Mytilus edulis: one gene and its partners. The protein of the gene in region 3 interacts with the protein of the main gene of each other region in a pairwise test. Links are inferred from orthologs where the notes say so. Each region holds a gene or a part of one and is shown on either strand. Other genes may lie near its edges. The genes, in order: histone-lysine N-methyltransferase SETDB1-like; COP9 signalosome complex subunit 6-like; thymidine kinase, cytosolic-like.

Region 1 (3,761 bases), on a different chromosome or scaffold from region 3:
TCACTTTTGGTTCATGTCAGATATAAATAATTTAGCGGCATCGTTAACATAATCATTCTGATATGCGGATTACAAAAGGCCATCCCTACATAGAATACAACGTCCGTTTACAAATTAGTTTGTACACACGTTAATACTTTTGTATCAAACGAACTTTTTTGTAAATGAACCCTGCTCTTTAAGTTTAAAGGTACAGAGTAACGTACTTCATATCATGATTTCAGAAAGCGTTCAACATCGATTTCAAACAAATGCTTTGAAACTTCAAATGCAAGTGTTCATGTCAAACGCTCAGGTGATACCAAACGGACTGGACCTTATACGTAAAGATAAAACCCGAGGATTCCGGTAAAAAAGTTTTGAGCGGGAAATACAAATATAAGATTTTTGGTAGGAACGAAAAAATAAAATAAAATAAAATCTTGCTGGTAAATACAAATAAAAGATTTTCAGGCGGAACGAATTGATAGGGTCGGTCGGTAATTATAAAGGGCAAACAAACAATATTTTAATTTAAGCCTAATTGTTTATTTTTAATCATGTTAATGACAGATCCATGCGTATTGCTATCACCGGATTTTTACGAGGAGGGTCACGCTTAGGTCACTATGCATACGGAAAATATGTCGGCCAATTGCTTCCTGGCAGAAAGACAACTCTAGCTTACAACCTTTATGAACATAATGTTACTTGAATCAGTGATTTAATAATCACTCATTTAAGTAAGTCTCCTGACTGTCCAGACAAATTTTGATGAGTCCAGGACTCATGGACTCGCCTTAGTGAGAACCCTGCTCTGACGTCCCACGGCCCCAGCTTGTCTGGAACAACAGGTGTTGGACATCAGAGTAATCTCGGACTAGTGTTAATACCACAATACCAACATGGATCTAAACTGACCGAAACCTAGACTTATTCCGACCTGACTCGGACCACAATGTACATAAACCCCCAAACGTAAAAGATGGCCAACTACATGTATCTTAACTTAAGTACAAAATGTAAATTGCCTCCATTTTTCTTTAAAGCCTCTATCATTTCGTCTTGGTCCTTCCCTCCTATTATGAGAGCAGATGTCATTCCAGGAAACTTTTTTAAAAACTCTGACAAAACTTCATATATCTGGCATGCTAATTCTCTGGTAGGTGTAATTATAATTGCTCCAACTTCATGTTTTGAAAGAGGTTCTTTCTTGTGCAACATTTCAAGAATTGGTATTAGAAAAGCCAATGTTTTGCCACTTCCAGTAACTGCCTCCGCGGCTACATCTTTGTTTTTCATGAACAATGGAATACATGCTGACTGGACAGGGGTTGGCTCTTCGAAATTAAGTTCCTTTAAAATGTTACAGATCGGTAACGAAAGACCGATTGACAAATTTTTCCACGTGCCAGCCATTTTAACTGGTACCTCTGACAACTTAAAAAAGAGCACAACGAATAAAGTTCAAGGATAATAATAAACCAGTCAGGCACGACTCTTTTTAACTTCAATGGAAAGAGTGCCTTTACAAACAATGCAAGACAAGAAAATATGCACGCCGATTTGATTGCTTCATAGTTTAACTGTAAGTTGTGTATGCATACTAATTGAAAGTTAATAAAGGGTTAAACTAACATTAGAAAAAATAATACTACCTACTTAAAACAGAAAAAATGCACAAGCTAATATAAATATATGAATAATATTGCTACTGATTTTTTAATGTAATACTATCAGCAGGGTCTCACTAATTAGCGACAACAAGCGTCAAGAAACGACAACAAGCGTCAACAAGCGACAAGAAGCGACAACAAGAATTATTTTAGCGACAACAAGCGACAAGAAGACTATTTAGCGACAAGAAAACATTTTTTTTAAATTAGATATAAAGAAATTTGTATTTAATGTTTTTTTTTTAAATATACGAGCAGATATGTCTAATTAAAATGTTTTATTATATAGATAGACAAAGAAATGAAACATTTGTGAGGAAGAAAGAGATTTTGAAGTTTATATTAGTATATTGGTAGATGAAGAAATTTAACATTTGTGAAGAAGAAAGAGATTGAGCTTCTTTTTTTTATTTTTAAATATGAAGAATATGTATAAGATAATGTATGTATCTGTTTTCATCAAAGTCAAAGTATGAATAAACGAATGGAGATATATATGGAGCATAATGGAATATAATATTTTGATTCATTTGCTTAATACTATGCTCTAAGTGTACTCTTGTTATGTCAATTCGATGCTTTATTTATAGAACTCTCAGCCACGCTTTGCCATCTTTATCATTTAAGCGTGTTTCCAGACCCCACGACGAGGACGTGGTTCTACCTTGGGGTCTATATATTTTTTTTTTTTTTTTTTTTAAAACTATTTTTAGTCATTATATAGTAATATGTACATTCCTATCTAACATAATATTTATACATTTTGTACATGGTGGTCCCATTTTGATAAGCAAACATGTGGAACATCAAATGAGATTAACGAGTCGCGTGTCCCCTGTTTTATTGCTACAATAACATCCAATTAACACCTTCAACTTTGAACACGCGTCAGACTATACAATTACACGTGCCAGAATATACAATCATTGTAAATAATGAACACCTGTTGAAAACTCAAGATTGTCATTAATTTCCTTTCATCTTCAATCAATATGCATAAACATGAAAGATATCGTTTAATGAGGCAATAAACAAATAAAAAGATGAAAACATTCACATTTCAAATTTCTTTTCCTCCTGTTTGATTTCAGTTCTTTGTATTTCACAATTTGTGTCAATGTTTTCAGGACAATGATGCACAAATAATTCATTCTGCGAGCTTAATATATATTGCACGAAAAGAGTTAAAAAACAAATTATAAGAAATAATATGTTCTAAAACACAAGGAAAAGTAATCTCATAATACAATAATTAAACGTAATACTGGCTGTTATTCATAATAGATGATAAAATATTATGTAAATAATGTTTCATTTTTTTCTATCAATTTTAACTTTCTTGTCGCTAAAATTATTTTCTTTTGCATATTCTTTTAATATTTATTGCAATAATTAATTTTAATTAAAAAAAATGTTTTCTTGTCGCTAAATAGTTTCTTGTCGCTTGTTGTCGCTAAAATAATTCTTGTTGTCGCTTCTTGTCGCTTGTTGACGCTTGTTGTCGCTAAAATTCTTGTTGTCGCTAATTAGTGAGACCGCTATCAGCATGATCAGTTACAGTTGTACTGTTACTAATAGCGTTACGTTACTGTTACAAAATGTAGGCTTGAAGTAAAATCAGGAGATCATATATATATGAGCTACGGTTGCATGAATCATGGTTCTTTCGCGCCCATTCACGTTCACCCCGTTTCACGTTTGCATAGAAAGTGATGCTAGTACTCACCCCAAAATGACAACCATAACAATATCTAGGGATGGTGTTTATAAACTTATTAAAAACATAAACCCTAATAAAGCCACTGGTCCTGATACCATCGCAGGCAAAGTACTGAAACAAAACATTGAGATATGTACAGACATCCTCACATTAATATTCACCAGATCATTAGAAACAGGAAAAGTACCATCTGACTGGAACCATGCTAACGTCACACCTGTATTCAAAAAAGGGGACAAACACAACCCAGGTAATTACAGACCTATATCATTAACATGCATAGCTTGCAAATTACTTGAACACATCTTTGCAAGCAGCATGATGCAACATCTTGAAAACAATAACACACTGTATGAGTTACAACATGGATTTAGGGCAAAGCGATC
Region 2 (3,761 bases), on a different chromosome or scaffold from region 3:
GTTAATACAACTTAGTAGTCTGATGTTATTTATGTATTATTGTCATTTTGTTCATTTTCTGCGGTTACATCTTCTGACATCAGACTAATACTACTCTTGAACTGAATTTTAATGTGCGTATTTTTATGCGTTTACATTTCTGCATTGTCTAGAGGTATGGGGGAGGGTTGAGATCTCAGTCATGAACATGTTTAACCCCGCCGCAATTTTGCGCCTGTCCCAAGTCAGAAGCCTCTGGCCTTTGTTAGTCCTGTATTATTTTTAACTTTAGTTTCTTGTGTACAATTTGGAGTTTAGTATGGCGTTCATTGTCACTGAACTAGTATATATATATTTGTTTAGCCTATATAGGGGCCAGCTGAAGGAATATTGGGGTATGTTGGGGTATGAATGTAGGACAGAAAGTCACAGGACAAAAAGTCACAGACAAAAAGTCACGGACAAAAAAATCACAGGACAAAAAGTCACAATCAGGCAGTTTTTAGAATATTTTTTTTTAAACAAAAAAAAAAAATAATTTTTAATAAAATATTCGTTTTTTTCTTGAACTGTGATAAACAAAGCAATTTTGTAATTAAAATGTATTTAATAAATATCAATACTGATCACATGATTGTTATGAAAACAAAATGTCAAAGTGACTGTGTACTTAAACGGCTTCATGTCGCCAAGAAATATCTCCTTTGCATGATTAAAATTTAATAAATTTTCATTTACAAAGCTTATGAACAGTGTCCTACACTTAGAAATGAATAGATGTAATAAAAAGAAATGTTTCAAGATCTTTCTCTTATATATATCTTAACAATTGATAAAATATTAATTGTGACTTTTTGTCCTATCAAATTTGTGACTTTATGTCCTGTGACTTTTTGTCCTATGACTTTCTGTCCGTTTACCTTGGGGATTGGCGTAAAAAGTCACGCCGCACAATTGACTCAGAGCTGGAATAAACGGTCCGAGTTGACCTTACAAAGACGGTCCGAGTTTCCTACGGGCCGAGTAAAGCATATTCAAATAAGCATTTAAATGATCAAGATCATCAGACGTCAAAAGTTACGTCCCTTTAAAGTATTTTTGTTTTCTTTCTTTTTTCTGTTTTTTATGACCATGGCTTCTCAAATGGAGATCGATACACCTTCTACTAGCATGACTAGTGTGATGGCTAGCACAACTGCATCAGGAAGTGTTTCAGTGTCGTTTCACCCACTTGTCATAATGAATATTTCTGAACATTGGACAAGAGTACGAGCCCAAGAAGGAAAACCAACACAGGGTAACATTACCATAGATTATAAAAGTTGTTGTACACATGGCAGAAGCAAAATCACATTAAAACCCATGTTTGCAATAGAAAAACAATTAACTGAAGGCATGTTAACTCTACTTTACTTTAACAGGTTGGGAACAAACCCCCTGTATGGTGATTATACCTCTATAGAGGGATAATCCTTCTTTAGAGGGATAAAATTATCCCTCTATAGAAGGGTATTTTTGTTTGCACTGGATTTAAAGCAAATTAGGGCAGAATGGCATTTTCTAGCTATATTGGCTACAATCTCTAGCATTATATGCATCAACATATGCACTTTACTAAAAATTGGGATAACCAGTTTTCTGCTAAAGTGACAAAACTTGCAATCTATTGTTAACCTATCTGAACACTTGATCAACAACAAAAGGAATAGTTGACCTTTAAATTTCATGTTAAATCTAACAATAGAAATTCTGTTCAGTGAGGCAGAAGTGAGTAGAATTTACCTGATCATCACAGCTTTCAATCATGGTGAACAATAGATTTTATATTTAGTCAGATAAGCATGAAACTGGGCATTTGCATATTAAATTAAGTACATCAATTGGTGCATCAACTGTTCCAGGTTACTGCCATAATAAGTAGAGAATGCCATTCTGCCCTATATTGATTTAAATCCAGTCTGAACAAAAATATCCCTCTATAGAGGCATATAGAGGATAATTTTACCCCTCTATAGAAGGATTATCCCTCTATACAGGTATAATTACCATATAGAAGGTTTGTTCCCTACCTGTTTAAGGAACATTATTGAAATTTCGTTGCATATCCTACTCAGCCAGGCTACTGTGAGTACTGACTACTGTGTACAAATGTATGTAGTCTAAACATTTATCGGTCATCTTGTTAGTTCAATCGGTATTTGTGTTTGAACTTAACACACAGGGAAACTACACATTGACGTCACTAAGCTACTTCCAGTGTAGAAATTAGTGCAGAATACTTTTTTTCTACTCTTTTGAATTACTTCACAAAATCCCACTTCCTGCCTCCATTGCTTTGTGTACATTCCATTCAGCGTCATCAATCTTGTGGCAGGCAATACTGGTCAAGCAAATTGTTTTTTGGGATACAATCGCTTTTAAGCAATCTGTAAACTTATACCATTGACTTCGGGCCATGCCCTCACGTCAACCATTTTCTTTTAAACAGCAAGGAACTAGATTGTCTTGCTTTGAATGGTATAAAAAACAAAAGGATTGAATTTAAACAACTGTCCTATAATGTTCTTCTAATAATCTTCAATCATGTTTCGATATTTCCCTTGACTTGTATGGGTGTTTTTAACAACACAGAAAATCAGAATTAAGCAGTATTTATATTTAGTGTTTTTATAAATTTAGAAACACGTCAGAGGGAATTCCCCAGTTTTGGTAATATGCAAGAGTTCTCTGAATTCCGATAAATCTATGTCTGTCATATAAGAACTGAAGTGGAGTTTTCTTATATATATACATTTTTGTTGTACATGTACATGTATGTCACCATTATGAAACTGATATTTGATATTGTACTTCCATAAAGAACGGAGGTTGTTTTTAATATACGTCCTTGCTACAAAGAACAAGTCTAGGGTTTGTTAAGGTAATTATGTGCATGTGTATAGTTTTCTTGACTTATAGGGGTATCAGATTGAATGGTTGCTCTGGATTCCCCACTCCATTGATTAATTTGAAACTCACAAGATCCTTTCTATCCGTCTATGTCTGTTGAGGGTTATTGTTGTTGCATAATTTTAAATCATACTAGAACACACCCGTGATATCGCGGGTCCGTGACTGATATATAACTATGCGTATGCCTTATTTTAGTATTGGTATTGTCATCTGATAAAGTCATGCCGATTATAACATGTATAACGTGCACAGTTTTCTCTGCTTTCAAAATCTTTCTGTTTGAACCCGTCGACCTGGAACCTATCAATTATTGGTAATATTAATAATTTGGAAAACAAAAGGGCCTGGAATGGAGTATTTTTTACTCAACAGTATACAGCAAAATTCTAAATACACTGTTTGGTGGTGCGCCTGTCAGATGCGGAACGTACAGATAAGGTAATAGGTAACAGGGGAATATACTATTGGTATCGGTGTCGGACTCGATCCGGAACTTCTTAATTATTGGCAATATTAATTACGTGGAAAACAAACGGGCCTAGAGTGGTGTAATTTTTAATCAACACCATTGTACTATATTAGTTATATATAAAGTTGAATTCTTTGATTCATCGTTTTAACGTGATGACGGCTGACAAATTGGACCTCGTAATTTTAGTATTATAGATGCATCATTTGAATTAAAATAAATGTAGTCCTTAAAGTATAGGTGTAACTAGAAAACCCCTTCAGCCAAAATGGAGTCTTCCATATTATTGCTTCGAGTTGTCTCCCTTCTGTAAGTAACTTTCGTCAAACGACGAGTTGAGTAAAATTAACTCATTCTGTTG
Region 3 (3,761 bases):
ATGCCGATGATTTTATATACTTTATATACATGTATATACTTTAAATGTTTACATCATAATAAACATGCGTACTAAGTTTCTAGTTCATGCAACCACATAATCTTATGGTAAACTAGTTTTTTTTTTTTATCATTATCTTCATTATTAAAATTATAAACCATATGTATTAATCCATTTATAGAAAGACTACCATCTCAGGATTAAATAATTGATTTTCCTATGTTGTTTTATTTTGGTACTTTTAATCATTTAAAATTACAATTGAATTACCAGTTTAAATATTCTACATTCAGTGTGATCTTATTTTGTCTATGTAAACACAGTTTATTCTACTTGCCAAGTAAATGTGCAAGAGTTCCTCAACTTACCTAGGTAAATACTCAAGATTTACTAAACTTACTTGTCATGTGTAGCTATGCCTTCTTTGTCATATCTGTCATCTTTTGAGTATTTAATTACCAAACATTTATAATTGGCTATCTGGTATCTTTTCATTCTTCTCATCAATTCTGTCCTAAAATATACAAACAAAAAATACCAGTCATAAAGTCAATTGTATTGGCATGATTTTTGTAAAATTATGTGGATTGACTATTAAAGTTGTTCAACTTTTTATATCAAAATTAAAGTCATTTTGGGTTTCTGATGGGCTACTAAAAAGTTATACATACATTGTACTTAAAAATTTCTACTTACGTTTTGCCAGAAAACATAGGACCGAATATCACCTGGAAAACAATAAAACAGGCTTTTAAATGTTGCACTATTAATGTATTTTTATGCTAATGAACTAAAAATCACCCTAGACAAATTAAATCAGTGCTGCAGATGACACCTTTCCAAATCAGTATCAAGGATAAGAAGATGTATAATATATACACGAATGCATTATCAGTTACTGTAAAAAGTTTCAACATTGAGGAAAGTACTATTTCAAATTTATTTCTAAGTATTTTTTTGTCTTTAGCACACACAAAAAAATATTTGAAGAGAAATTTCTTAATTGAATCTGACAGATAGTCATGAAAATAATTTGTTGGTTTATGATAAACTTCTACGCTACAGTCGACAGTACAGACCAGTCTCTATATATTGAAAATATTCTATTAAAAAAAGTGAATTTCTCTTCCCTTGTTAAAATATTAAAGGACTATTCATTTCTTAGACAGGTGCCACATGTGGAGCAGGATCTACTTACCCTTCTGGAGCACCTGAGATCACTCCCAATTTTTGTTGGGGTGTCATGTTGCTCAGTCTTTAGTTTTCTATGTTGTTTCTTGTGTACTACTATTTGTCTGTTTGTCTTTTTCATTTTATATAGCAAAGTGTTGTCAGTTAATTTTCGATTTATGAGTTTGAATGTTCCTCTGGTATCTTCTTTCCCCCTCTTTGATAAATGCATTTTTTTCAGGAATTAGTTGAATGAATAGTCGCTCATAATATGATAATGTAATGGAAAGTATGAATGCCTGTAACCATCAGGCCGTCTTTTTCAGCAAATGTTAAGTGTCAAACTGGTTAAAATGTTACCTTGATTCATCAAAATATCCTTATCGTGATTCGTCAGAGCCTGAGAGGTCTCAAATATTTGTTGTTACCGTTATTTTTTGAATAATTAATGTCATTCATTAACATAATTAGGTTTTTTATCGTCAAAAAGAAAGATCATTTTATCGGCATGCACCAAAAAAAACATCGTAATTCTCACCGTTATTCCCCCCACTTACAAACCTCATATTATGAAAGGAGTTGTCCTAGCCGTAACCTATTTATATAAATAATATCATAAATAAATAAAACAAAAAATGTATATGGCACCAGAGACATATAATATGTATTATATGTCTCTGATGGCACTTAAAGACATTATGTAAAGTCAGACTAGCAAATACCATATAAAACTTAGTTACTGTTAGGGAAATGTGTAGTGGTGAACATGCAGAAGTGGGACGAAACATGAATGTGTCGACGATTATGAGTTTTGTCTTTGTTTCCAATCAGAATCATAAAACGTAAACACTCACTAACAGATAAAACTTCATAAAAAGAGTCTAACATCACAAAAAGTAGCATATTCACCTGTATTTGGCCTCTCGGTGACTTGTTAAGTCTTGGAGAATTAAATATATGCCCAGTGGAACACATTTTCTAGCTTTTCTGGAAAAAAAATGTTGCGTAGTTGATTTTGCCGCGAGTTAGCAAGCTTAAAATTGCCTCCAAAAATGACGTCACCAGTGTTTATATTTAATTTATTCATGTTTTTTTTTATTTCTGTATATAAATTTGATAATTAATTTAAACAATAATACCGCCCAACTATTAGTGCTACAAAAACTAATTAATAATAAAAAATATTCTGGAGGGAAAATTGCAACCCCATCTACATTGTTTTCCCTAACAACAAATATGGCTGACCAAGAGGTGGGATATGAGTTTTTAAATCAAACTTTCTTTAGATAAACCGAAACATATCATTCAAAAATCTATTTTTAAGATTGAGTTTATGATAAAAAGTAAATTGGTCATGTGCTCATCAGAAGAAAGATATATATATTTATTACAAGGCAATAGTTGATGATTTTTCTTGTCTTTTTGTCAATATTGATCACACGAAAAAAGAATTATAGTCACTTCGGCACCTGGTCAAATCGGCAACCAATACAGACAATTCAACACCTCGTCAAATCATTAATACACGTTTTTTTGCCAACAGTTTTTGAACCATCACTCCTTAAGATAATGAACCAGACTTTGAATGTCAGTTATTATTCATTCTAATGCAACAACGTTTGTAACGTTCATTTTGATTGGATTACGTCACTTTTGTACATGGCATCAATTGACAGTTGATGCTATGGGATGTACACGCAAGTGCAGAAGGCATATACCAGATTTTAATTACATGATTTAACGTTGTTTTCTGTCAGTTTCATTAGAACAATAACAATAATGTATTTTAAGCTCTGATGGCATCAATTGGGGATTTGATAACACGTCACCAGTAAACTTAATTTGCGACCATCAAATCCCCAATAAATCCCCAATTGATGCTGTTGGAGCTTGAAATACAATACAGTTATATCCTAAATGACAATGTGCATGTCGCGCCAGGTACATGTAGCTAAAATTAAGTAGCAAGTCATTTTGGACATTGACCATTTTGTACCTCTGCCATTTCAGACCTTGATCATTTAGAACCTCTACCATTTTGGATCTTGACCATTTCCCTATGGGTGAAATGCACATTGTTCTTGTTTTCATAAGTCAACAAGTGGGGAGTTGGACTAGATCCTTATTAATCAGATTAAACTACTTTTCATTGGTGGGATGAGTTGGTAGGCTTAAAGTTATCAGGGTTAAAATTCACATCATAAGTGGGGCAAAGTGGGATTAAAGATTTTTTTACAGAAGTGGAGCATTTTGTAGAAAGTGGGTCAAGTTGATAGAATATTTTTATGGATTCACAAGAAAGAAAGAAAGAAAGAAATTTTTGTGTACATTTTTTACTAATTGATGGTAACTGGCAATGCCTTTTGATGCTGAATACAATTTCATTGAAACATACATGTACATCTCAGTAATATCTTTTTTTCCACTCTAAATGAAAACCTGGATGTCAAGTTAGATTGTATTAACTGCTTTTGATTTTGGTAATTTTGTTTGTGTGATTATGTGACTGACCTATCATCATGATCATTAAAACTACAGGTGTGAAATTATAAATGGAGGCCCTACAGTGACTTGTAGTTACTTCATTAGGA

The links.
Region 1: the proteins of thymidine kinase, cytosolic-like (region 3) and histone-lysine N-methyltransferase SETDB1-like interact in a two-hybrid assay, tested with the Homo sapiens proteins (2 studies listed by BioGRID and IntAct). The link is inferred for Mytilus edulis from reciprocal best matches to the Homo sapiens genes TK1 and SETDB1.
Region 2: the proteins of thymidine kinase, cytosolic-like (region 3) and COP9 signalosome complex subunit 6-like interact in a two-hybrid assay, tested with the Homo sapiens proteins (2 studies listed by BioGRID and IntAct). The link is inferred for Mytilus edulis from reciprocal best matches to the Homo sapiens genes TK1 and COPS6.

What each region holds. Positions count from the first base shown.
Region 1 is NC_092350.1:57,977,681-57,981,441, reverse strand, and holds the start of histone-lysine N-methyltransferase SETDB1-like, read left to right. Parts: upstream 1-1,473; 5' UTR 1,474-1,567; intron 1,568-3,761. Other genes in the region: ATP-dependent RNA helicase DDX55-like, read right to left, coding at 1,011-1,398. UniProt on the Homo sapiens protein: Histone methyltransferase that specifically trimethylates 'Lys-9' of histone H3. H3 'Lys-9' trimethylation represents a specific tag for epigenetic transcriptional repression by recruiting HP1 (CBX1, CBX3 and/or CBX5) proteins to methylated histones.
Region 2 is NC_092346.1:85,905,421-85,909,181, forward strand, and holds the start of COP9 signalosome complex subunit 6-like, read left to right. Parts: upstream 1-1,036; 5' UTR 1,037-1,104; coding exon 1,105-1,276; intron 1,277-3,761. UniProt on the Homo sapiens protein: Component of the COP9 signalosome complex (CSN), a complex involved in various cellular and developmental processes.
Region 3 is NC_092352.1:45,351,072-45,354,832, forward strand, and holds the start of thymidine kinase, cytosolic-like, read right to left. Parts: upstream 2,234-3,761; 5' UTR 2,146-2,233; coding exon 2,080-2,145; intron 729-2,079; coding exon 697-728; intron 515-696; coding exon 401-514; intron 1-400. Other genes in the region: cilia- and flagella-associated protein 184-like, read left to right, coding at 2,407-2,421. UniProt on the Homo sapiens protein: Cell-cycle-regulated enzyme of importance in nucleotide metabolism. Catalyzes the first enzymatic step in the salvage pathway converting thymidine into thymidine monophosphate.